Linked DNA regions of Lepisosteus oculatus. The protein of the gene in region 1 interacts with the protein of each later gene in a biochemical or structural test. Links are inferred from orthologs where the notes say so. Each region holds a gene or a part of one and is shown in the gene's direction. Other genes may lie near its edges. The genes, in order: ptprb and cntn1b.

Region 1 (12,673 bases):
ATGATTATTGTTAATACAGAGGTAGGGGAGAGTGGTGTTAACCAGAAATGGACAGATAAAAAATATGAAGGTCCAGGTAACATGGATTTCTGTTTCAACTCAATACACTTTTTTTTTCATTTTGCTGTCCTGTTTTTCTGCCAATTACACAGAAAGCTACAAAAATAACTTTTACCAAAATATGAACTACATGGACAACAACAAGCTATCCTGCCTACATATTTTAGAACATATGGCATGTATTACTTGTGGCTTTTTGGTATGTGAAGGATGCTTGAAATGTTTCCCAAAGAAGCTCCTTTGCCATTTAATGCTTATATTTATTACTGAATCCTATTATGCTTAAGGTGGTGGCTTTGATAGCCTTGTCTTGTAGTTAAGCCACTCACAACATTGGTACATTTACAAATCAGTTTTACACACTTTTCCTAATAATGGCCTGTTTAATATAGCCGTTTGTCAGGGTTAAATCACTACAAATTTTAAAGGGCTGTTCACCGTATCTTTACAACATCCTGACCATGTCAAAGATCAAACAGTAAATTTATTGGGGCTACAATTAAAGGAGGTTTCTGTTTAAAGTATTTGTTCTGTTAAAATCAGTTCATTCGTTAAAGCAAGTGCTAGCATATCAATGCATAATATTATTTTTTTTAGGTATATTTAAGTTTGTAAACATCAGAATTTGGAAAATACATAATCACTTGTTGATCATCAAACAGAAAACTACTGTTACATTTGCATTAATCAGTTATTGTACAGCGTATTGTATCCTCTTCATTTAATATCTGTACTGTACCCCACACTTTTCTATTTTTTCCAAATATGCTCACAGTAACAAGAGGAAAGAGCAATAATTTCATCCAACTTTAAGACTAAAGTCCACAGATCTTTATGCAGATTAATAGCTGTTCACATACATTCCTGTATGTACTGTATGGTACATTAAGAAAATATAGTAGACAAACAGTATATGTAAAACAGAAAAACAGTATATTTATTAGACAGAAAGTATATTTTAACTGTTTTACACTTTAAACAGTAGGCAAAACTGTCCCTGGGGTAGCACTGCTCCTGTAGACTACACACTGGTTCATAGATCTCAGACTGCAAAAGCTGTCTAACCCTAACCATAGCCTCCAAGAAACAGTCTGAAATTTTCTGTGCTATAAAGTGCTGTCATTAACATTGCTAATAACCTTTGAGCTCATTCGTATTCGGTGGGTTTTTGCTTATTTCACATTCACTTAATCATCAATGATTTACAGTATACTTCCACTTAATGAATTCCAATTATGAATCAGAATGGGCAAATTGTTGGATTAAAAGATGATTGTTGGTACAAGAATGCTTCACATCTTTTTGAACCATGGAACACATATACAAGGTAATCGAAGCCTGATTCATTGATCCATCCACAGTGCCAGCGTACTGCTGCTATCCTGATCAATTATCAGTCAAGTTCTGTTCCCAGCAGCAGAGCTTCACTAAGATTAGTCCATCCTTCAGTGCTGCAGTACAGTCCCTTTCAACACCAGATCCTTTTCAAAGCGCCTTTTTTTCAGATAATGACATATTAAAATATGCATCAGCCAAACTGGATGGTTAAGAAATGTAAGTGAGGATTTTTGATTATGTAGAATTAAACAACTAATAGGGAACAAATGCAAGTAATGGATGCTGGTGTGCTTTGCTCCCAAATACTTCTACTACTGGTAACAGCTATAATTAATATTTTGAGATTTTCAGACTTTACCTGATATGAATTTGTATCGTATTTATAAAAATGTGATATTTACATGTTATTTCACTAAAGTCAGTTTTATGCAGAGGATTTTTTTTGTTGTTGTTGAGAATTTGGGGTTCAGTACAGTATGTAAATGTTACCCAACTGCTTTACTTTATATACATGTGAAAACAATGTAAATGTTAAAGTGCTATTATAAATTATGTGGCTGGCATATCTTTTGACCACATAACATCTTGCTGCTGAAACTGCAAGTGTTTAAAATTTTAGGGGAAAAAAAAGATATCTGTTTGACTATGAAAACATTTAGAAACTTTTTTGTATGTAATGATTTTTTTAATTATTGTTTGTGATACAAAGGTTTTAAAAATATATATTTGTCTATTTATAGTAGATCTACAGTATGTAGCAGGTACAATGCACAATGCCCATTACTTATTGTGTAAAAATCCAAAATGTCAGTGTATATTGTTTACTGTTTGTAGAAATTATCCACTATGTGGTCTGATGGCTATATAAGCCATATGATGAGCTGTTCAATATATATATATTAATCAAGATGAATGTTGTGATATGTTAACTACCTAATATATACCCATTTATATACATAAAACTATATACTGAACATATGTATGCCACAAATTGTATGTAAGAGAGTAACAGAGCTGCTAAACTGAATGACTACATTATTCATTAACACCTTATTTAAAGGTTGCTGGGGCTGGCTTGTACTTCATCTGCGTTGCCAATTAATAAAAAATAAATACTTTGTGAGTCGGAACACAAAGAACGTGAAATAAGAAGTGATTACGAAAGGTGGCGTAAGGAGAAATTTAGGTCATAGACACTGACATGGAATGACAGTAGCTGCTCTTCTGGTACTGTAGGTCCACTTTCATTGTTAAAGATGAATTTGAAACGATGGACACTAATTACAGTAGGGTGGCTTTATGAAACGCAGACACAACACTTAAGTGATTGATGGACACGTCTTGTCATTCAGGTCCTCGTGCCTTTGGTTTCTTAATCACACCAAGAACGCTTTTGTCTTGAGACCAAATGAGCCAGTTTATTCTCTATTCACTGCCTTTAACACAAGGCAAAGACCAGTCTTGTAACACTTCAGCAGTAACTCAGTAGTGGACTTTCTTACAGTGTCTATTACTCTATGGTGATGTGACTGGTAGGAGTCTAGACTAATTTTCCATCTGCAGCTCATTTACTGTGGATTAGAGATTTTAGCCACAAGGAGAAACAGGGCAAATTGGTGATACCATTAAAAAATAGGGGTATCAAACTGTAAGCCAATTTGCAAGAAGTCTCAGTTCCTGGGAAGTTTGTTACAGTATAATATACTATTCATTAATAGCTCTGGTTTTGATTTATCTATCTGGCACATAAAAAAAAAACATTGTAATCAGAATCTATTTGAACATCACCTCAAGACAGTTCAACTCATTTTATAAGGTGTAAAAAAATGGTTCATTTAATTATCCTATATTAAAAGTCTTAACAATGTACACTACTTTGCAAAAGACTTAAGGCATCTTAAGCACAGTCTGGAGTTCCAAAATCTGTATCTTATCAACAACTTTTTTTGTGAACAATTTGTTCAAGGCTTTCACTAATGTTTTCTACTATTATAACTGTTAATCCAGTCTAGTCTAGGATAAATAAAAGCCTAACTTGTCATTTTTTCAATCATTACTTCACATTGACCACATTGATCAGATTCTCTAAATTCTTGATCACACCAGTTCAAAGCAAATTAGGGCCGTCATGAACTGTCAATATGAAATGTCATAGTGGTTACTACAGTATATTTACCATTCAACTAATTTCAGTCACAATCACCAGTCAGATCTAGTTGAATCATTGTCAGGTTGTTTCTTATACTGTACATATTTGTGGATCTACATTCAGAGCTACAAAATACTGATGTATCAAGATTAACTATTAATTTTAAACAAAATAGCTAAAATGTCAGTTAAAAGTTGTCATTGAATTGTGTTCCTGTATATAATGGAGAAACAATAAGTGAAAATAGCAGAACAAAGCAAAATGTGTAAGATTTGTGAGCTTAATTTCATTAAATGATAAGAAGTCCTTAAAACACTCACAATGCCATTTTCCTTAATACAAGTATGATTTATTTTGGGAGTGTATAAACTGTTATATATTTCACCAACAGAAACATTTTTTAATTTCATTTCAAATTACATCTGTGTAGATTTGCTTTATTATTTTGTGGTTATCTGATCCAGGTACTGTAGGTCAGAAATGCCTTAATCTCATTTCCATATTATAAAGTATAATTTGTTTCTACCAAATTTATGATCAGTCTCCGTAAGATGCATAATAGGTTTTTGAAATATTCTTACCCTTATGAAAATGTTTAAGTGTTTCTGTTGGAATGTTTAAAGAAGCTTATTGTTTTTTATACAGAATTGAGACATTTCTGTAGAAACCTGTATTTATAAGTTATTTGTGTAATGGTAGTTAAGATGGTAGTCTCCAGTAACAGTACAATTCATGGCTTAATGTTTGTAGCAATATCGATACTGTGAAAATTATATATCCAGTCAACACTAGATACTGTACAGTAACATTGTACAGTACATAAATATTTTTTACAATCTTAAAGTTTGTTTTCCTCTGCTGAGCTGGGATTTTTTTTTATTACACTTTTCTTTGATCCAACCTCTCTGCTATAAAAATGTATGCTGATTCCCAGGTTAAGATACAGTACTTGCTCTGAATGTCTAGAGCTTTTTGTGTACTCATATGCATGTGTAATATGAGGCGCTGCATTGAAGACAAGTTTAAACACCATGGGATGTTATTTTTTAAATCCAGGGCGAACTGCTTTTGGGTGGATTGGTCCGGTTTAAACCATTTCAAACACATTTTGTATTGTGTTGACTTTCTGACTTCGCTGTACACTTCTAGGCCCAACAGACATGGTCTTTATCTTTAATGAAGTATATTACACTTGATTTGAAAGTTCTTTCTGATACCATGCTTTAATAAAACATTTATCATCTTCTCCTTTTCAGCTACTGTAAAACACCTTAACAAGCCTTCCTCTTATGGAGGGTGTAGAGTGGGCTCTGTTGAAGCTTTATGGTCAGGTGAGACCAAGGTTATATTGTCTGTGAAACAAGCCATGCCACACAGCTTTCAAATAAGTGTTACACATATATTCTTTAAAAAGGAAGTCACAGAGTCCTCAGGTTAGAGTGTCTTGTGGGAATATTTGTTTCCTGGGATAGAGTGAGCAGTCTAAGGCTGTACAGGCTCTGTATTGTTAACTATTGATGTTGACTTTATATTCTATACTGCCAATAAACCTATATTATTTTAAAAGATCAAGTCTCATGTTTCTGTTTCCGTAGTGCACTATGCTTCTTTTTTAGAATTCTTCCCTACCTTAAGCAATGTCTTGCAGAAATGCACATATAAATGTATTTTTGTTCAGTTTTCAAGGGCTAACTGTAATGAAGACACTATCCAGTTTCCTTACTGCCCTTTAATATTGTTATTACTGTATGTACAGTGTAAAATTACATTGAATCGGGTACAAATGTATGTAGGTATAAACTGCGATGGATACAAACTTTTCTGGAGTTTTATGCATAACAGACATAAACTAAAAGTACACTTAGTTTGGATATTGCTGTGCCTGCTGCACCATCACTGCGGTTTAAGTGGTATATCGTAACGCTCACAGGATCACAGTAACTCAGCAGATTCTAAATTACCTGCCTGCTATCACGATGGTGGCGTAAACATGTCATTAAAGTAAATTGCCATTGCTAACTTTAACGCCCTGCACACCACAAATATGGTAGTAACTGGTGTTAAGAGATACAGTATTGCAGCTGCAATGTACTTTTCTATTTCCGAAAAGATAGTACTTCCATTTTGATGAGTCCCACTAAATGATATTATACTATGAAACTCCTAAAACAATTGAATAGAAGGAAGTGCTCGTCATTGACTTTTTCCCCTGAAGGCGCATTTCCTCTTCAAGCCTTAACTTTGCTCATCGTAATTTAGTGGAAGCGTGAAACTGTAGTACAAGTAAAATGGATACCTTGTTTTTGACTGCGATATTATTTTGCCTGACTTTTACTAGGACAGGTAAGTAATGCGCTTTGCTGTGTCCTTTCTAATCCTGTAGTTTTCAACCTGGAGCTGGTTTCGAAAACGTGCTTTGATGGTTGATTAGAGTTTGCCAAATCCTAACGGAAACCTATCCTGGTTTTCATCTTTACACAATGGCAATGAAATTGGGCCAACATACTTGATTATGTTTATGTTATTTCTTATTAAAACAAACATTAAAATGTCTAATTACGCTGCTGGGTGTCTGCTGATTTACATAAATCGATTTTAAATTTATGCATCTTTGTTTACAATGGTGTTGTATGTTATGCTAAGAACGTACGCTTAACATTGTCTTGGTATCATGATAACATCATTATTTCAGAATAGATCCAACGGTTGTTATTAGTAGTCTATATGTTTTCTGAAACGCAGGTGCTGTATTATTCTTATATTTGGGTTTGTTTTTTTTCTTTATAATTTTCCTCAAGATGGGAATTAGTTACTGTTTTACAGCTATAAATGTGTATAATGTATAAACGTGTATTGTTTTTACACGAATAATCCTACTAACTGCTTTGGAAAGACATACTGTATACTGAAACAAAAATAACACCGAACTTGATGAAGGTGAAACATACGAATTAAAGTGGTTTATGCTTATGAAATGATTTTGGATGATGTGCAGTATGCTGAAATTGCTGAACACTTTAATACAGTACAGTATATACATAGTATACAGTACCTTGATTTTTTTTACCATCGTAATAGTAAAACTTCCCATTAAGTTAAACAATGTAACTTTTAAGTCGTACACTTGTTACCTAACGTAAATATTATCTTATTAATGCAGTTACGCAGATCAGTCATAATAATTTATTATATTAAAATGTTAATGTAAAATGTTAGTAATTTATAGTTCTTCATGAAAGGGGGCTGTGCAAATGCGTCGAATTCTTCTGCTATTATTGTGCAACCTTATATAAGTCGTGAATTATTAATAGAATTATTATTACTATTAGTAATTACGTTTTTTATTTGTAGAAGAGTTCCTAATTGCCCACACGTCAAAAAGGCTATGTCTCTCGACACTTAACAAGGCTGTAGTCCTTGTCCAGTGCAACATGACCAGTCCCTATCAACAGTGGACGTGGACAAACGACTTGAAACTTCTCCACCTTCAGTCCTCCTTGTGCTTGTGGTTCAACTTGAGTAGCGATCTTCCTCGTCACGCACGCCTAGCCGCCATTGGCAGATGTTCCAGCGCACCTGGCTGGAAGTGCTACGACGACAATGGGACTTTCGGGGTCATCGACCGTCCGCTGTTCCTCAAGAAACAGGGCCTGCGAGTGGTCCTCAGGGGAGAACAGAGGTATTCTAACTGGACTAAGTACGAGGTCGAATCTGGAAGGAAAGTAATCACGGGAAGTCTATGTGCAAAGAAAGGTGAGAGGTTTCATTTCTTATGCACTGGCAGCGGCGGTGAGAGTGGGCAGCGAAGAAGTGAACATTTAAATCTTTAAGGTTAAACATGCAACATCGTTGAAGGCGATTGCTGTTGGTGCAATATACAGTAAATGTCGCGCTTGTGACTTACCAGGCACGAAAAACTACGCGTTCTGAAAACTTGCCAAAATGAGAGAAGTACTGTGGTTACCCGCCTTCCATCAGCGGGATGCGCCTGAACATCTGTGAAAATGATTTGTTTCATTTTCGGTAACAAGGGGAAAGGGAATTGTGATTACGGCAAGTACCGTGTGATAGTGAATATTCTAAAATCTTTCAGTGGCTTGGCTTTTTTTTTTTAAAGTTGGTCTAAATGAAAGTAAAGGATATTACTTTTGATACCCATTTCCCTGCACATTGTGCTTAGGGATTTGACCGACCCAAACACAGGCACAGGAATTTCGTAAGCAATCTCTCCTCTTCCTGGCAAATTTGGCAGTACTGAGACCATGGCCGACAAGTTCATCCACCCTGTCTGTGATAAGTAATGCAAAGTCCTGCATTCTACCGTTCTAATCACTAATCAGACCTCTATGAGAGGTGACCGTCTTATTTTGACTTCTTCACATCTAAACTCCTCTCAGAACAATTAGATTGAGATACCCGATGTGCCTTATTCACTTTGAATCGTCAAATACACCTTTTAGTCATACAGTATACCTTGTAATGGTAGAAAAAAGGGTAACCATTTCCTAGTTGTACCCATTTTCAGATGAAGTATAGAACTGGTGTAGAGGTGCAGAGGAACTCAAGCTGGTGATACTAACTTAATTTTTTCCCCAGGAGAGACACTTCTGGCTCAGACATCTTTATTGAGAAATTAAAACAAACACCTAGTTGTATTTTGTACATTCTATACAATATGATGCCATTGCTCTACTTTTTTATTTCATTTTAAAGAGCAGCAGGTTCTGAAGCATCCATCAGGATTATTGTTTTGTGGGTTATGCCAAGTATGTGTTTTTAATTCAAATAAATTCCTGGATTTCCTTCATTTATTTAGCTTCTAAAGTACGGTTTCAAAAGACGTTTTGTTCCTAGCTTTACAAAATGATTGAATCTTTTAAATCAGGGAGGCATACTGTGCATGAAACATCAGTGAAGGATGCAAACAGTAGATACTGTTTGTTTGCAAACAGTAGAGGGTGTCAGAAAAATCCCTTGGTTAGATCCTGCAGAATTCTGTTTGCACACATGCTCTGCAACATACAGTAATTAGTTTGGATTTAATTGTAAAACCTCATTGGGACTGTTATGTCTAAAAAATGCAAAACAGAGATTCTGTTTTTAAATCATGCAACTACAATTTAGTGTTTGTCAAACATATCCTCATACTTGCTTCATCCTGAAAAGGTTGTGGTTTTGAAAGTTTTGTTGGACTGTTATTGACAAAACATTCTCTGGAAGTTTATTAATTTTGTCCAGTTTGATTTCTCTTCATTACCTGCTGTATAACAATGCTGTAAAACCATCTGAAGTATACCCCACTATTCAGCTGACTTAGGTGTAAAGGCTGTGTTAAACCACAGTTCTAGCTAACTTGTGAGAAGAATTTGCCTTTGGATAATAGTTCTGGGCCTTGATATACAGTATTTGTATATTTTGCAATAGATTGCTCTTTTCAGTGCAATATAAATATTTTATGTCATAAAGTCAGATTAAATAACAGCTCACCTTAACAACCAAATATTAAGTAGCTGTAGCGATGTGCGTACACTGGATTTATAATAGTTTGATTTGATCTTTTCTGGATTTTTCTGTCTTGAATTTACAAGGCTCACCTTTTTTTTACAAGAAATTTAGTAGTGCTGTTAAGCAAAGGGAATTTGCTTTTTATTACCTGTATATTTTGTGGCAAGTACTTTTTGCTCTAACTTTCTTGGCACCAGCATGATGAGAGAGATGCTACTGAATATTTGTAGTATTTGTAATAGGTTGTTTTGAACTGGCTGTCCTCTATATTGGTTAGACCCCATTACGGTATTGAAGAATTGCTGGTTAAAATGGAGAACCATCTGCTCTAGCACTCTTGGTGTTTACAGCTTTCTCTCAATATGTAGGATTTTTTCACTTTGGAGAAATTATGTGGGGTGAATGGCATTTTTTGTCTATTGTTTCTGTTTCCTTTACAGAATTGAAACTATTCCTGGGGCTAAAATTAATTATGAGTCCTTATATGGGACTATGTATTTGAACCACTATGCCTTTTGCTGATATTATTCACCATCATGGTTTTCACTTTGACTCATATGCTGATAACACAATGGAACATTTGGGGGGGTTTTCAACAGCTGACTGTATTCTGCATAATTGACATAGAGTTGTAGAAATCTGTAAGTTTTCCTCAACATAATACTGGAAAATGGATTTTCATCTCATATTCATATTCTGCCTTCTTATTCATATTCTTTTGACATATCCTGTGGCATTTTTGTACTTTGCCTAAACTCCACTAACGGTATATAAATCTTGATGGTAGTACAGTATTTGTTATACTGTACAGAAGAAAATCTACTTTTGTAACAGTACTTTACAACACCCTCACCACCAATACACATGTAATCCACGAGAAATATCTAAAAATCAGCATCTTCCTGAAGAGAAAAGGCTACTGTTTCACCCAGGTTAAGGGTGGTAGAACACAGCTAAAAACAAACTCCAAAAACATGTGAGTCTGCTTTGTTCTTTATCTGTGCAAGAATAACCCAGCCCCTATCAGATAAACTCAAGTGTCTGCTATGGACAGCAATAACTATCGGCAGTTTTCAACCACTGTATTAAAAGTACTTTCAGAGATTCATATTGACTTCTTTTTCATCAGAATATCTGGCTGAGTAAAAAAGTGCAAAAAGTACTCTTATAGGCTGTGTTTCTAGATGCATTTCTGATATGAAATGCCAGATATGAATGCATTTAAAGGATTTTATTTGTGAGAAACTGCATGAGTATTCAAAAGAAAATAAAATGCTTCCAAAGGAATCAAACTGGCGCTGGCTCTGGTAATTGGTTGCATGATAATGTTTCAATTCAGATATGTATTATGTAGGAGGGCTGGCTTCATCTACTACAGGTATGTTTCCCTCATAATAGAGAGAGAGAGAGAGAGAGAGAGAGAGAGATCACTTTATTAGCCATATACATTTTTTGCATAAGGAATTTGTCTTTTCAAGTACCCCAGCTTGCTCTCCATGAGACACAGACACACAGACAGGTAGAGAAGCTTGGGAAGCTTACTGTATATTTAGTTTATAAAAAAACTTCTATGAAGAGCAATGCAAAACAATGAACTAAAAAATAAAATTTGGAATAAGGTTAGATATGAGATGTACCGTTATCAACATTGGTGGGACCAATTGCAGCTTATTATTGAGCCCTTGTAATGAACTTGGTCGTAAAGACTGATGGACTTCCGATACCCTTTCTAATCTCCTTAAGTTTGAATTTTTCTGCTCATACAGTATGCTTGCAGGTACAGTATCTGTAGTAGAGCAGCAGAACGTGTCTGTCTTGGCTCTGGGGATCCCAGTGTCTTCTGATGTTTGTTTAGGTTACCTATGAAATGTTATCATAATTCCAAGTGTGTGCTTTGTAGGAAATAAAAATAAAAAGTTACAATTAAAAGCCCAGTTACTGTAAGTAGCTGGTCTCAGGTGAAGTGTAATCAAAAAGACCCTAGGATTGGTTCTAGCAGATCAGCAGTCTTTGGTCTCTTAGCTCTCTCTGCAGAAATTTGTTGTGGAAGGCAAATCGTGGACCCTTTGAGCATTTTGTATTCGTGGAAGGTTTGTCTAAATTGATACAGTATGCCGGTGTTGGATTAAATTAGTTACTGTATTTTACTTTTCTGTGTCAATCTTAAAAACAGAACACAATTTAACAAGTGTTTTTATGTTTTTCAGGTCTTGCTGCAGAACGAACTACACCAATTGTGTCTACACCTGCTAGCACAACAAGTACTAGTACAACTAGTACAAGTACTAGTACAACTAGTACAACTAGTTCAAGTACTAGTACAACTAGTACAACAAGCACTAGTACAACTAGTTCAAGTACTAGTACAACTAGTACAACAAGCACTAGTACAACTAGTACAAGTACTAGTACGGCCAGTACAACTACGAGTACAAATTCCCAAATACCTGTACATAGCACCACTGCAGCAACTATTATGAGCACAACTGCAAACCAAAGGAAAGCTGATATTACTGCTACAGTTACAGAGTCTAGCGCTGCTCCCAGTACAGATATATTCCATACAGATAAAGCTATAACACTCACTGCAACCACTAGTACAGGATTGCAAAGTTCTACCACATTGATGGTCACCAGCACAGATCTAACTGAAAACAGTGTTTTGACCACAGGTTTGACTTTTGTTCCTCCTAACAATATGATTTCTACTGAGACACAAACTGTCACATATGTGGCCTCTGAAAGATTTGTTACAACGAGTCCTGAAACTGAACCTATCCATACTACAACTTCCTCTGTTACAACACAACCTACTGGGCCAGCAACTGACTCCACCACTGTCACAACTGAACAGGTGAGTACGGACTGATATTTGATGGTGGATGGGGTAACTAATTAGATAGCAGAGAACACTAATTACTAGTATCATCCACACAATCAAAGAACAGATCCTTAAGAATTGCTTATCAGTGCTCATGGCATAACTTTTATTATTCTCTATCTTATGTATGTATGCCAAAGTTATGCAAGAATAAAATTCCAAGCATAGCTATGAATTCTTACTAACTAGTTATGGCAAACATATATACAGACAACATAATATTGCATCCTCGTTTATACGTGTTTTTATTTTATTTTGAATTAAAATATTTCAAACCTAAGTAATGAGTACATTGATTATTGGTTATTGATAATGTGTTGTAGACTGCTAATAGATTCATATTTACTTATTTAAAAAGGAAACTACTGGATACTATTATATATGTCATACCACAGTGTAGCATGAAGACTGAATGTGAGAAAGATCCTGGAATATTTCTGTAGCCAGTTGAAACAGGTGATGCTCATGCCATGAATATGCTATTCTGCATGATCATGTGATATTTCAACATCGGAATATTGATCTTAACACCCCAACAGCATCATCACAATATCATAATAGTGTATTCAGTTTTTATACTTTTAAATTAAGTGGATCTGTCTTCAAAGTAGAGCAGTTAAAATCGTCTCAAAGTTCTGTAACAGGTTTTGATTTGTTGGAAAGCTACAGAGAGGTATTTGAACTTGCCCTTTTTTCTGCACACTGTTTCCGTCATTGGCTATGACTTCTGCTCTATACTG
Region 2 (12,754 bases), about 7.8 Mb from region 1:
TTTCACCTCTAAAACAGTAGGATGCCACCTTGCCTCTGTGGACTTGCTTACTTCCTTAGATTAAAATGCAAAGCTTTAAAGATCCTCACCATCCCTTTCCACCCTACCTGTTATGAGTGGTGCAGATGCTGTTGCTCCAGTATTACTAGAGAACAGGTGTGCTGAGATCTGCTGGACGGAAATCGGTAACTGGATTGAAGCTTGCCAGTGTTGATCCAAAACAGAGTGAATTTCCTCTCGCTCCGCTGGGTCCATGTTATTAGGCTCAGTATTCTGTTACGAGTCCGGCTAATAAAACTGAAACTAAGATATAAACCCTAATGCAGGAGCTGGAAAATAATCCTGCAAAAGGTCTTTTCCACAAGTCAAAAGGGGAAGCCAGTAATCCTAAATTGAGAGAGTGTGATTGCCGAGTCGAAGACCAGACTGTGCTTAAGTATATAATGAGATGGAGGTGTGGTGGTGAATAAGTGATCCAACAGGTTGACTAATTCAGAGTGGTCTATGCCTTTTTCTGCTAACCGAACTCCGTTGCCGGCAAGCAGGGATCGTAACACTACCCCTCCCTCAAGTGCCGGCTCCTGACGCCCTAGCACGACAATTAGGGAAGTTGTGATGGAATAGCGGATCAGGGTTGGATCCAGTATATCATTCTCCAGTACCCACAAACATTCCTCTGGGCCATAGCCTTCCCAATCAACAAGATACTGGAGGCAGCTATGAGACCAACGGGAGTCTAGGATCTTATTCACAGTAAAGGCGGGATGTCCGTCAGTTACCCGAGGCGGTGGGGGCTTGGGTTGGGGTTTCGACAAAGTGGATCTGTGAAAGGGCTTAAGGAGGGAAATATGGAATGTAAAGTGAATCCTAAGGGTAGGAGTCAAGGCCAGTCGATAAGTTACTAGAGTGATCTGTGTGAGGATGCAAAAAGGGCTGATGTACCTAGGGGCAAGCTTGCAAGATGGTTGCCTTAGTGGAAGGTTGCGGGTAGACAACTAGACACATTGAAGTCTGGGTATAGTTCGATGTTGCTGGTCCGCCGCGTTCTTTTGCTGAGCTATGGAAATTATTGGAAAAATGTAAATATCATCCAAGTATACCAAGACAAATTTTTGTATTAAAACTCAAAAAGTATCATTAATAAAGGTTTGAAAAACAGCTGGGGAATTTACTTAACCAAAGGCATGACCAAGTACTCATAATGTCCATGGGTCCATGGGTCACCATGAATGTGGTTTTCCACTCATCCCCTTCATGAATACAGATTAAATTTTATGGGACCCTGTAGATCCAATTTGGTGAAAATGTTGGCTCTGTGAACGGACTCAAGCGCTGCCTGTATTACAGACAAAGAGTACTGGTTCTTAATTGTGATCTCATTGAGACCCCAATAATCAATACAGGGATGTAGCCCACCATTGTTTTTTCCACACAAAAAAAACTGGCACATACAAGCGAAGTGGATGGACATATAATTCCAGCCTTCAAATAATCTTGGATATATTTTTTCAGAGCCTCTGATTCAGTATAGGAGAGTGGAAATATACGACCTCTAGGAGCGATTGTCCCCAGAAAAAGGTCAGTCGCACAATCATACAGTCAGTGGGGTGGGAGAGCCAAGGCCTCTTGCTCAACAAAGGCTTCCCTTAGGTTAAAATATTGGGGGGGTATTGTTGGAACTTCGGATAGAGGCATTTCCGTGAGCACAATTCTCACCGGTAAAGTATAACATTAGGGTCCCCAAGTTAGAATTTCCTTACGAAACCAGGAAATGTGGGGGTCATGCTGTTGGAGCCATGGAGAGCCTAATACTAAGGGAAGTAATGGGGTCTCCAGGAGGTAAAACCAAATGTCTCCAACATGGGTGGTGCCATTTTGCAACCTTATTAGTTTAGTTTACCATTTTATAAGTCCTGGAGAGACTGGGGAACCATCCAAAGATTGCACACAAAGAGGGGGAATTACCTGGGTCAGGGGTAAGTTCAAAGTATGAGCAATAGAGGCATCTATGAAGTTCCCTGCTGCCCCTGAGTCAATAAATGCAAGAAGAGGCATATGTTTATTATCCCAGGATAGCATAGATGGAATAAAAATCCTGAAGCAAATTGAGAAGAATTAGTAATCTCACTTACTTTAGGATCTTGGGTGGCTGGGGGGCACCTCAGTGATGAGTATAATGCAGGGCAGGCGACTCCGAAATACCCTAATTTCCCACAGTACATACAATAAACCTCTAGACAGCATCTCTCTTTTTCTTCCAGGGTTAACTTGGTGTGAGCTACAGTATTTCCATTGGTTGTTCTGAGTCTAGGGTTCTAGTAGGTGGTTGCCGAGAAACCTCAAGCATTCGTGTCCAGGATCTTTCATGACCTCTTTGACGGATTCTGACCTTTAATTCAATCACCTGGGAAATAATGACTTCTAAGGTTCTGCCTGACAGTGGCATTGTTACCAAGTGATCTTTTATTTCCTCACCTCATCCTTGCCGAAAGAGAAAAATAAGGACTTCATCATCCCAGTGAGTCACAGCCGCTGCTACCCAAAAATCAATAGCATATTCCTGCACCGACCTGCGGCCTTGGCGGATAGATAAGAGGTTGGAGGTGGAGTCTTGTCCAGCAGATGAACAAAAAAAAAAACCCTATAATTTCTCTTGAAAGAGGTCGTAATCCTGTACCTCAGAAGCCCAGCGATCTAGCAATGCAGTAGCCCATTCCAGAGCGCAGTCAGTGAGCAAAGAAATTATAAAAGCTATATTTTCCTGAGATGTTGGAAAGGTTTCTGATGGAGTCTAAAAACAGAGAGCAGTGTGCTAAAAACCCCGACACTTGGTGGGGTTACCGTCAAACCTGTCAGGTGGGGTGAGTGGTAGAGGTTGAGTCGCAGGTGTGGCCAGTGGCATGGGCGGTGCAGATATGTCTGCTCCAGTATTTCTAGTGGGCTGCATAGCGGACAGGTGTGCTGAGATCTGCTGGACAGAAATCTGTAACTGGATTAAAGCTTGCCAGTGTTGATCTAAAATGAATTTCCTCTTGCTCCACTGGGTCCATGTTATTAGGCTCAGTATTCTGTTACAAGTCCGGCTAATAAAACCAAAACTAAGATATAAACCCTAATGTGGGGTCTGGGAAATAATCCTGCAAAAGATCTTTTCCGCAATTCAAAAAAACTCAGTCAAAAGGGGAAGCCAGTAATCCTAAATTCGAGAGAGCGTGATTGCCGAGTCAAAGCCGTAACCCGAGAGGAGACCTCAACCTAGTTGAGAGGAGAAAGCCAGAAATCTAAAACCAAGGTGTGTACTTTCCAAAGCCAAGCTGTAATCCAAAAGCCATAGGTCCAACATAGAAAAGCAGTTCCAAGCCAAAAAGGTGTAAACGAGAAAAAGCGTAAAGCAGTAATGAAGCTCATATGGAAAACCAATACTGAGCCAGGAGGTTAGGGAAGACTGTGCTTAAGTATATAATGAGATTGAGGTGTGGTGGTGAATAAGTGATCTGATAGATGGCCTAATTCAGCATGGTCTATGCCTTCTTCTGCTAATTGAACTCCGTTGCCGGGAAGCGGGGATCGCATCACTGCCCATCTTCCATATACTTTCCTCTCCTCTGATAAGTAGTTGTGAGATGTGTGAGCTAAGTACTTTGATTTTGAAATTTTTGTGTAGCTCGTTGTTATTTTATCTGGGCTCACTTTGTATTATTTGCATATATATATAATTACTGGTGTGCATTATGTTGGTATGCACAGATGTGTTCAGGGATGGTTTTATTGGCTCTATGTTGAATATTTGTATAGATTTGTATGGATATTTTAATTAAACTAAATTTCATGCAACTGGCTATTATGGCAATACTATATTGAACCTGAAGATTTGTTTTTTAACCAATCCTTGCAGATCATTCCTTTTAACCCAAGAAAATACTTGGTCACTTCTCTGGACCAATTCAACAGCCACAATCGTATTAAAAATGGTACACTATTATAAATGGGGGTTTTATGTACATTGGACAATCTAAATAATATCCTTTAATTTAAATTCTGTGGATCTAACTATATATCCTGAGACTATTTGCCTCTTACTGCTTTCCTGACATTCTCTGGTGGATGTGAATGTCACCAGCAGCCATATCAGCCATATCATGACCTCCTGGGAAAAACAAAGGTTTCTGCTGGAAGAGGTGTTAGTGGGGCCAGCAGGGGGGCGCTCAACTTGCGGTCCATGTAGGTCCCAATGCCCCAGTATAATGATGGGGACATTATACTGTAAACAGGCACCGTCCTTTGGATGAGACATAAAACCGAGTTCCTGACTCTCTGTGGTCATTAAAAATCCCAGGGCGTTTCTCGAAAAGAGTAGGGGTGTAACCCCGGCGTCCTGGCCAAATTTCCCATTGGCCCTTACCAATCATGGTCTCCTAATAATCCCCCTCTATGAATTGGCTTCATTACTCTGCTCTCTTCCCCACTGATAGCTGATGTGTGGTGAGCGTTCTGGCGCACTATGGCTGCCGTCGCATCATCCAGGTGGATGCTGCACATTGGTGGTGGTGGAGGGGAGACCCCATTACCTGTAAAGTGCTTTGAGTGGAGTGTCCAGAAAAGCGCAATATAAGTGTAAGCAATTATTATTATTATTACTTACACACTGTCAAGGGAGCTGGTTCTGACTCCTGTGGAGTGTGTTAATAAAGACCCTATGTGGATGGTAGAATCTGTAAATGACAACGGAGGACGGTGCAACGGGGTTCGGATGGGTTGACAAGACAGGGGGCGGTGACGGTAGTGAGCAGGTGCACGGGTGAAATGCGGAAGCAACCAAGTCCAAGGAAGTCCAAAAAGGAAAGTCGGGGCGCAGTCCATAATCCAAGCACCGGGAGATCCATCCAAGACAAACAGTCAAAAATGGGAACCAGGTCGGAACCGGCACAGGAACAGGAACTAAAAACATAACGGGACCAGGGACCAGGCGGTCAGGACGCCGGGAAAAGGCCTGCCTTCGGACAACCTGGAAAACAGGCAAGCCTTGTGGCATCCATCTTCCAATATTGAGACAGGAACTGCAGAGATGCTAGCCTTTTAACCAAAAACCAGAAGAGACACACCAGGAAATAATAGAAACTAATCATAACAGAAAGGGGTAGGAGTGCCCTCTAGAGGAGGGATGTGGAACGTAACACACACACCTATGTCTTTTTCATAGAAAGCATCTTGAAGCTCAGTTCATCATTTTATTTGTATCTGCCAGGTGTTTGTTCATTCCAGAGCTCTACCTTGAATTTCATTTGCACATTCTATGGTGTGTGCTATCAGTCTTACTTAAATTTTTCCGAATAAAGTTCAGGCAATATTTAAAAGACAACTGAAGAACTAAAACTGTGATGCCTCATAGCAAAAACAACTCATTGCAAACAACATCCTGATTTTCATGAAAGAATTTCTGGTTTCATCAGTGTTGCTCCAGGTTAGCTATTGAACTGTTGCTCCAGTGTTGCTCCAGGTTGGCTATTGAACTTTCACTAGACAGTATTCATACAGTAGTTGCCATTTTCTCTATATTCAGTAAATTAACAGATCTGCAGGTTCTCAGGTCTCAAGGTCTGCAGATAAATACCGTCTACAAAGAAAAACCTCAATATGAATTATTAGCAGCAGTGAGGTGATCAAGTAAGTGTTAAAACTGAAGATCCCAGATTGTTTCATGGAAAAAAACTGGTAAAGCCATGGTTGCATCAGGTATTCTAGTTCCAAAAGAGGGCAAATTAACGCAAGGCAGTCCCCGGAAATGGATCTCAAAAAATGATTATTGACATTCCTGGTCAAAAGTGTAACACTGACAGAATTTCATCAATTAATATTATTTAAACCAGTCCTCCAAATGCTCAGCACAAAGAGATCAGCAGATTTCAGGATGTACTTGGGTCTATTGGAGATGATATTGTGATTATATATAATAAAAACTACTAATGATTCAGAACATCATGCCAACTATACAGAAATAATTATATAGAAAAGAAAATTGATATCACAATAGCTGAATTCATCATATACTGTACAGAATTTTTATAATGAAGTCTTATAATGAAGTAGGCAAACCACTTACTAACTACAATTAGAGACCAGTTTTGCCTTGAAGGGGCCACGTTTTTTCCATCAATTCAACTGGCACCTGCAGTCATTGCGAAAGAGAAAGCTATTCAAAAGAAATCAGATCAAGCAAGATCATATTCGATGGCTGTACTGATGGTCGCACTGACTTAACATTCCCCAGATGTTAGCGTTAAATCTATGTTATATATTATAGACGTATATACAGTGAGAGACGCTTGAAATTAAACAAATGTTAGTTCCATTCTTAGTGTCAGACTGTGAAAATAATCTTCAGGCTTGCTCACTTAATCAGGCTGCATTCAAGGTGTTCTTTGAGATTCTGACATTTATAAAGAAACAGTAAGTATATGTCTGCATGTCTGTCAGCAAGGCCATGTAACAACAATCTACTTCACCACCACCACCACTAATAATAATAATAATAATAATAATAATAATAATAATAATAATAATAATAATTCAGGTATATTATGTCAGGGACACTGTTAATTGTTTTTAATTGTTTTGAACTGTCTCTACAGTCTTCGTTCATGCTTTCAACACAGAGCTGCAAAAGACTGCCACGATTTTTGACTCAGCTCTTCAAACGTTTGACTGCGGACCTACTGCAGCTATCACTGGCATCTCTGCTCAGATGTGTTCATACTAATAGGTTTCAGTGGCGTCGCATTCGTCCAATAGCAGCCACATGAGCGCCGCTCCACCACCACCACCACGGCGTCTGTCATCATCTAGTATCCAATAGAAGAATCTGTCTGTCGGGCTTGTTTGTCTAGCGGTGCGGTGCTGACCCAGGTGTGTTTTGCAGAGATTTCACGGACAGACGGTCCACAAGATCAGGTAAGAAAACGGAAACATGAAAATAAAATTGAACTCAAGTTGTTATTGTCACGGCGGCAGCCAGTCTCCTTATTAATATGTAATGCATAAACCTGTCAGTTGGGTTACCGCAATGCAGACCGTGCATTACAACAGCTGTCCGTACCTCCTTTCACTTGGCATTCATAGACTCGTTTGCACTGGAAAAAAATAAAATGTTTCATATGTTTAAAGTAAAATTGTACTGACGTAACATTTCTCTCAAGACACATATGCGCGCATATGTTGAGATTTTTTACATACAGTAGATACACCTTGCATGCACTAACACTAGTTTTGCTTTTTTGCTTTTACCGCTGTAAAAATCTGCATTTCAGCTGGATAGGCTTCTCTACTTGTATTTGAAAAAAGAAGCAGTTTCCACAATTACACCTATCCAAGATTCATTGTAATCGTGTAGAAGGGGAAAACGGCGAAAACAAACAGGCTGTGTGAGTCTAGAACCTATTTCCCCTGCAAAAAGCTAACGAAATGCAATGAATAATTTTTTTCGCATGTTAGAATAAACCGTAAATATCTCATGGTCATGTGATTTTAAATGAGATAACTGTGATTTTTTAAGTGTCACGGTGAATGCCAGTTTCAGACAAAAAGGTCGAATACGAGGATGCATGCGAGTGGACTGTAAACGCTTTAAATTGCGGTCTTCTCCGTTTCTGGTGCTAAAGGATGCAGAGGACAGACTTACTGTTAAGTAGTAAAGGCTGTAGAATGTCAATGGGCGTGGCTGTCTAGTAAGCGGTGGAGGCTTTTGGTTCTCCTAGCCTCTCAGCCGTGAGATATCAACGGATTCATCTGCATTTAGATTACAGCCCTGGTATAATGAAGAAAATTATACCCGTTGCTGTTAAAATAATTGCGATCTGCACACTTTTAAATGTACGAATTCATCTCGTGTTTCATATTTCTTGAGTCCTCAGATAACATCATTTGCACTGTCACACTGCGCTTTAACTAGGATGCTAAGCAAACTCTCCTTGACATTACTGTCCCCTGCTATATTTCAAAACAATATAGGAGAGTATTTGCATCTGCTGACCACATAATAATCCTAAATAAAATACTATGATGAAGAGTATGGATGCCAGTATTGTTAAGCAAAAATATTTTATGTAATGTTCTGGTCTTTTCAATAACTAAAAGTATTGTTACGTAAAAATTATATGGCCTATATACAGTATCAAGCATATTTTATTTATTTTTGAACAGAGCTGCACCTCATAACATTTATTAAGTCAATCTAAGCTTTCCATTTATGTACTGTAGCTTCAGTTTGTGAACTGAGGCTTCAGTATGGTTTAGTGTGGGCATTCTGTCCAATCATCATTAGTTTAGGCCAGGGTTTCCTACAAATCTTGGTTTCATAAATTATATTTCCTAGCTTTACAAATGAAATAGATGTTGGTGAAAATTTGGGTTGTACAATAAACCCATGTTTTCCATCTTATTAGGGTGTGCTGTTGTGAAAGAGAGACCACATCTGAATTAAGACCTTTGTAATGCTTCTCTAGATGGAGCAGTGTTGTGGAATCTAGCACTGCTGGTAAGTGCTGTGAGACCTGTTTGAGTCTCCGGTGCCTGTCTGTGCAGAGTTTACATGTTCTTCTTTTGTTCACTTGGATTTCCACTGGTTCTTCCTCTTGAGAATGTGCATGTTAGATTTGATGGTCTACTCCAAATACAGTAGTATCCCCAGGACAGTATCCACCATCAGAAGGCGTTTGATCTCCACCAACTCCTTACCCAACCATATGCTCCTCTCCCTTTCACCCTTATTGTTTTGTGTGGAATTAGACATAGTATACTGAAAGGGTTTTCTTGTCCTTTCTTCTGTCATCTTGTAGGAATGTTTATGGTCTTGCAAAACTACCAAATGTGCTTTAGAAAACCAGTTGTATGGTTTGTTATTTTGTCTATGTCAGAGAGTACTTTTCTTTTAAAAAATAATAGATTATTCAATTTGCACTCTTGGTGAATCTATGGATAAGACAGCTCACGTGCACTGATCTCTGTGAGGAATCAACATAACTACAAACCATCCTGCTGGACAGGAATATTTTAGTGCGAAATCAAACTGCAGTGGGTTAACAAGCTTGCACTTTCCTTTATAAGATGAATAACAGCAAGCACTCAGTTTAGGAAAAACAGTGCTAAGGTTTAAGGATGGACATGAAACAGCCAAATTGTGAGTGCAACAATGATATAAGATCATGTGTTATCCGATTGTTCATCAGATTCAGGTTTAATCTTTTTAAAAAAAACTTTCTAAGATGGTAAATTGCAATTTTTGAAGAAACAACATGGATTAACAAGGATTATTCACTGTGAAATAAACTTTAATACAAAAATTAGAAACTTCACCATTAAGATTCTGAAAATTAGATACCTTAGTGGAAGGAGGAAGGCTCACATTTTCTTGTGTCCCATCCTGTAACTGATTTAAGAGCTTCTGTGGGAGGGAATCATCTAGTGCTATATTTGTGATTATTCGATAATCTAGTGAATTATGAATATAGAAGAAAATGTGACATTTGAGTGGAAAAGAACATTTTTATCATGAAGAACCTTTTTGTTAAATAATTTTGGTGCAATGCAAAGTTGAGCTGAGAATGAGATGTTTTTAGTTTTATTACTTGCCTAAAGGATGGCTAAGACTGTTAGCAGGACCTTTATTTACTAATCTGAAGAACTGAATTATACTTACAATATTTTCTCTGTGATATTTTTGAGAAAATTTCTAGTGTCATTATTTTGAAGTATGAGGCCTATTGTAAAAGCTTGGTAATACATTAGCTTAAAGCCAAGTGTCTGTGTAATAGTTCATTATACACAGTTCATTGTCCATAGTACCCTATAGACTTGGACCTTAAGATAAACTGTTAATGCCAATTATCTTTCTTGCATGGGTTTCTGTACTGGAAAATGGGACATCAATCTTTATTAAGAGACTTTACATAAATAATGAGAAAATCTATAATGTTATCCTTTGTGTTTTAGAAGTAGTTTCTCTAAGTGGTTTCGAATTCTGGGTGTAACAAGGATGACTTTTAAAAGGACAAATCATTTTGGGAAATGTAGGCTTCAGTTACTTGAATTTTTTAAAATGGTATACTGGCTAAGTGTGTCTATAGTTTCAGCTTTACCATCAAAGAAACTGTTTTAAAATATGACATTATGCAGCTTTTTGAAGTACAAATTATACAAATACAAATTTTCCAAATGTGGCTTCGGGGGCATTTTTGCCATTTGTAATTTTATGGTATTTAATTCCTTATGTTTATGAATTTATAATTTTCTATTACTTCCCATTCATACCTAGTCATTACATAAAAAGTTCCTGAACCCAGTCCCCTTCTGTCTATGAGGAGAGGATGGGGAATTAGTTCAGTATTACATAAGTCTCCTTGGTCAAGGCTTTAACAGTGATGTTTCAAACTGTGTGTACTGATCACCATCTTACTATATACTTCCTAATGTTCAGCATTACAGAGGCACTGGAAAAACCTTGGTGTTTACTGTATGATCAGTATGTTAGAAGAAAACCCAAGAGAATGTCCGTAAGAAAACTACAAAAGTCACATAATTCATTGTATAAGAAGTCCTAACAACAACAAGCAGATGCCCCAAAAATGCACTGAAAAGATAATTAAAACTTTGTTGTGTGTTATGTGTCTCTACAAGATGACCGATAGCTTAATTAATATACGTTATGTATGCGTGCATCATAGGATCTTGTCATGAAATCATTTGTGTACTATGTATGTGAAATTCTTCCATCTGAAATTATTTGTGCAGACCTCTTAAGAACTATTCTAGTTGAAATGTCTGAGAGCTGTTTGAGTGGAATTTGATGGAGAGGTATGGCAGAGGATCTATAATACACGTTTCAGCGTGGGCTAGGATGATTCAGTTCCTCTGCCCACTGCCTGGCAATCAGCTTCAACATGTATTTTTTGTAGTTGTGCCAGAATTATTAATGTGACAAATACAATTTTAAGTGAAAAAAGCAACAGAAAGCTCTCAAAATACAGTTTACTGTAAATGCAAAAAATGTTTATAACGAGTTTGTAAAAAATATTTTTATTCAAATTTATCAAAATGTTTTATGTAATTTATTAAAAATACTTTATTAATGACAGCATATAACAAAATAAATTTAATGTACAGTATATAACATGAGGGAGTGTATTATTTGCTTTTTATTCCAGTAGGGGTTTTCTATGGTTTAGTTCTATATTAAATCGGAGATCTTGCATCCATCAAGACTGATAAGATGTATTCTAAGAATAAAATACAGCCTGCTATAAACAATGAATGGCAACTTAAATCCAGAATTGTTTTTACAGTAAAACCAGGAAATTATTATAAATACAATATATAATTATTTTGCTCACTAGATCTAATGTTATCAGAAGTAAACTTTAAATTAAGTTTAAAAAGATACATTGCAGTTACTACTGTTTTTTTCACTGTGAACTCAAATAATCAGTACTCATAAAAAAAAATGACAGATACATAACATTCTTAAATATTTGATTTTTAATAACATTAATTCAGTTCTACCCTCTTTGTTCAATTAAACATACTGTATTAGTAGTGTTGAACCACTTTATTTTGAAGTGGTAAAAGTTGGACCATTTACTGATAGGTGCCTCTTGTTGCTCAGGTGTTGTTTTTAGGGTAAATGGCCACTGAAATATCTAAATCATCAAATATGACAGTTTTTTCATCACTCATGCTTTTGTGCGTTTCATTAAGGTTGGGAAATGAATGGAGATTCATTCAACAGTGCTGACTCCGCAAACGTCTGCAATTCAAGACAGCCATTTGTGAAACTACATACTGTACGGTATTTCAGTTCACTACTGTTAGACTAACTTACAAAACTAATTATTGTATACAGCCTATAATGTGTATTTCCACTTTTAGAAGGTACAGATTATGTTGTTGTGCCCTTCTCAGTCATTAGGGAGGAAATTGTATTCTTGTAGTCTTATTGTATTATTAACACTTGGAAAGATTCATTGTGAACTATAGATGTCACTTTATATTATTCTGTCTGCTGTTTGTTTTGGGATTAGGACTAATAATATAATATAGAATGCATTTGCCATTGTTTTCTGTCTTTATTTAATTAGTTTTGTAGTAGAAAGTGATGGACTGTATTGCATATTTCTAATGCTTTTAGGGCATGCATGGCAGAAGATTTTGTGCACCATCTGCTTGAAAAAAAAACTACTAAAATAATGAGCATCATCTCAGAAAGTCTTGCTTTGACAAAAGAGGGTTATGTTTTGGTTCATAAGGATTTCAGTCTCTTATTTGAGATATTGTTGTGTATGTTGGCTACGTGAGTTCTCAATCTGGCCAAAATGTCAGTTTTACTTATTTTGCCAGGTGCTTCTCCTACTTCCCTTCAGCCCTATTCATTTTCACCGCAGTGTCCACATATTTCACTTTTTTTGATACTGGTGGCAGTTGTTAATGACACGCATGTTGCTTCTTGCTGTGTCAATGCTGTGAATATAATGAAAGGTAAAATCTGCAAATCTTATATACAGATGAGAATCAATTTTTGTTATTACAGAGGAGATAGAATTTCAAATTAATTTATTAATAAGATGACTTCAGTTTTAATACGTAAGAGAACATTATGGTATATAAATATTTCAGCACTCATATTAACAGTAATCATTAAGATTATAAAGAAAAAAAAATTCTATAGGATTTTAAATTTATGTTTGTATAATGTTTGTTATTTTAAATG

What was found.
Region 2: the proteins of ptprb (region 1) and cntn1b form a complex in vitro, tested with the Homo sapiens proteins (2 studies listed by BioGRID). The link is inferred for Lepisosteus oculatus from reciprocal best matches to the Homo sapiens genes PTPRB and CNTN1.

The regions. Positions count from the first base shown.
Region 1 is NC_090702.1:23,005,672-23,018,344, forward strand, and holds the start of ptprb (receptor-type tyrosine-protein phosphatase beta), read left to right. Parts: upstream 1-5,793; 5' UTR 5,794-5,835; coding exon 5,836-5,890; intron 5,891-6,898; coding exon 6,899-7,300; intron 7,301-11,259; coding exon 11,260-11,906; intron 11,907-12,673. UniProt on the Homo sapiens protein: Plays an important role in blood vessel remodeling and angiogenesis. Not necessary for the initial formation of blood vessels, but is essential for their maintenance and remodeling. Can induce dephosphorylation of TEK/TIE2, CDH5/VE-cadherin and KDR/VEGFR-2.
Region 2 is NC_090702.1:30,811,950-30,824,703, reverse strand, and holds the start of cntn1b (contactin 1b), read left to right. Parts: upstream 1-6,775; 5' UTR 6,776-6,948; intron 6,949-8,438; 5' UTR 8,439-8,530; intron 8,531-12,754. UniProt on the Homo sapiens protein: Contactins mediate cell surface interactions during nervous system development.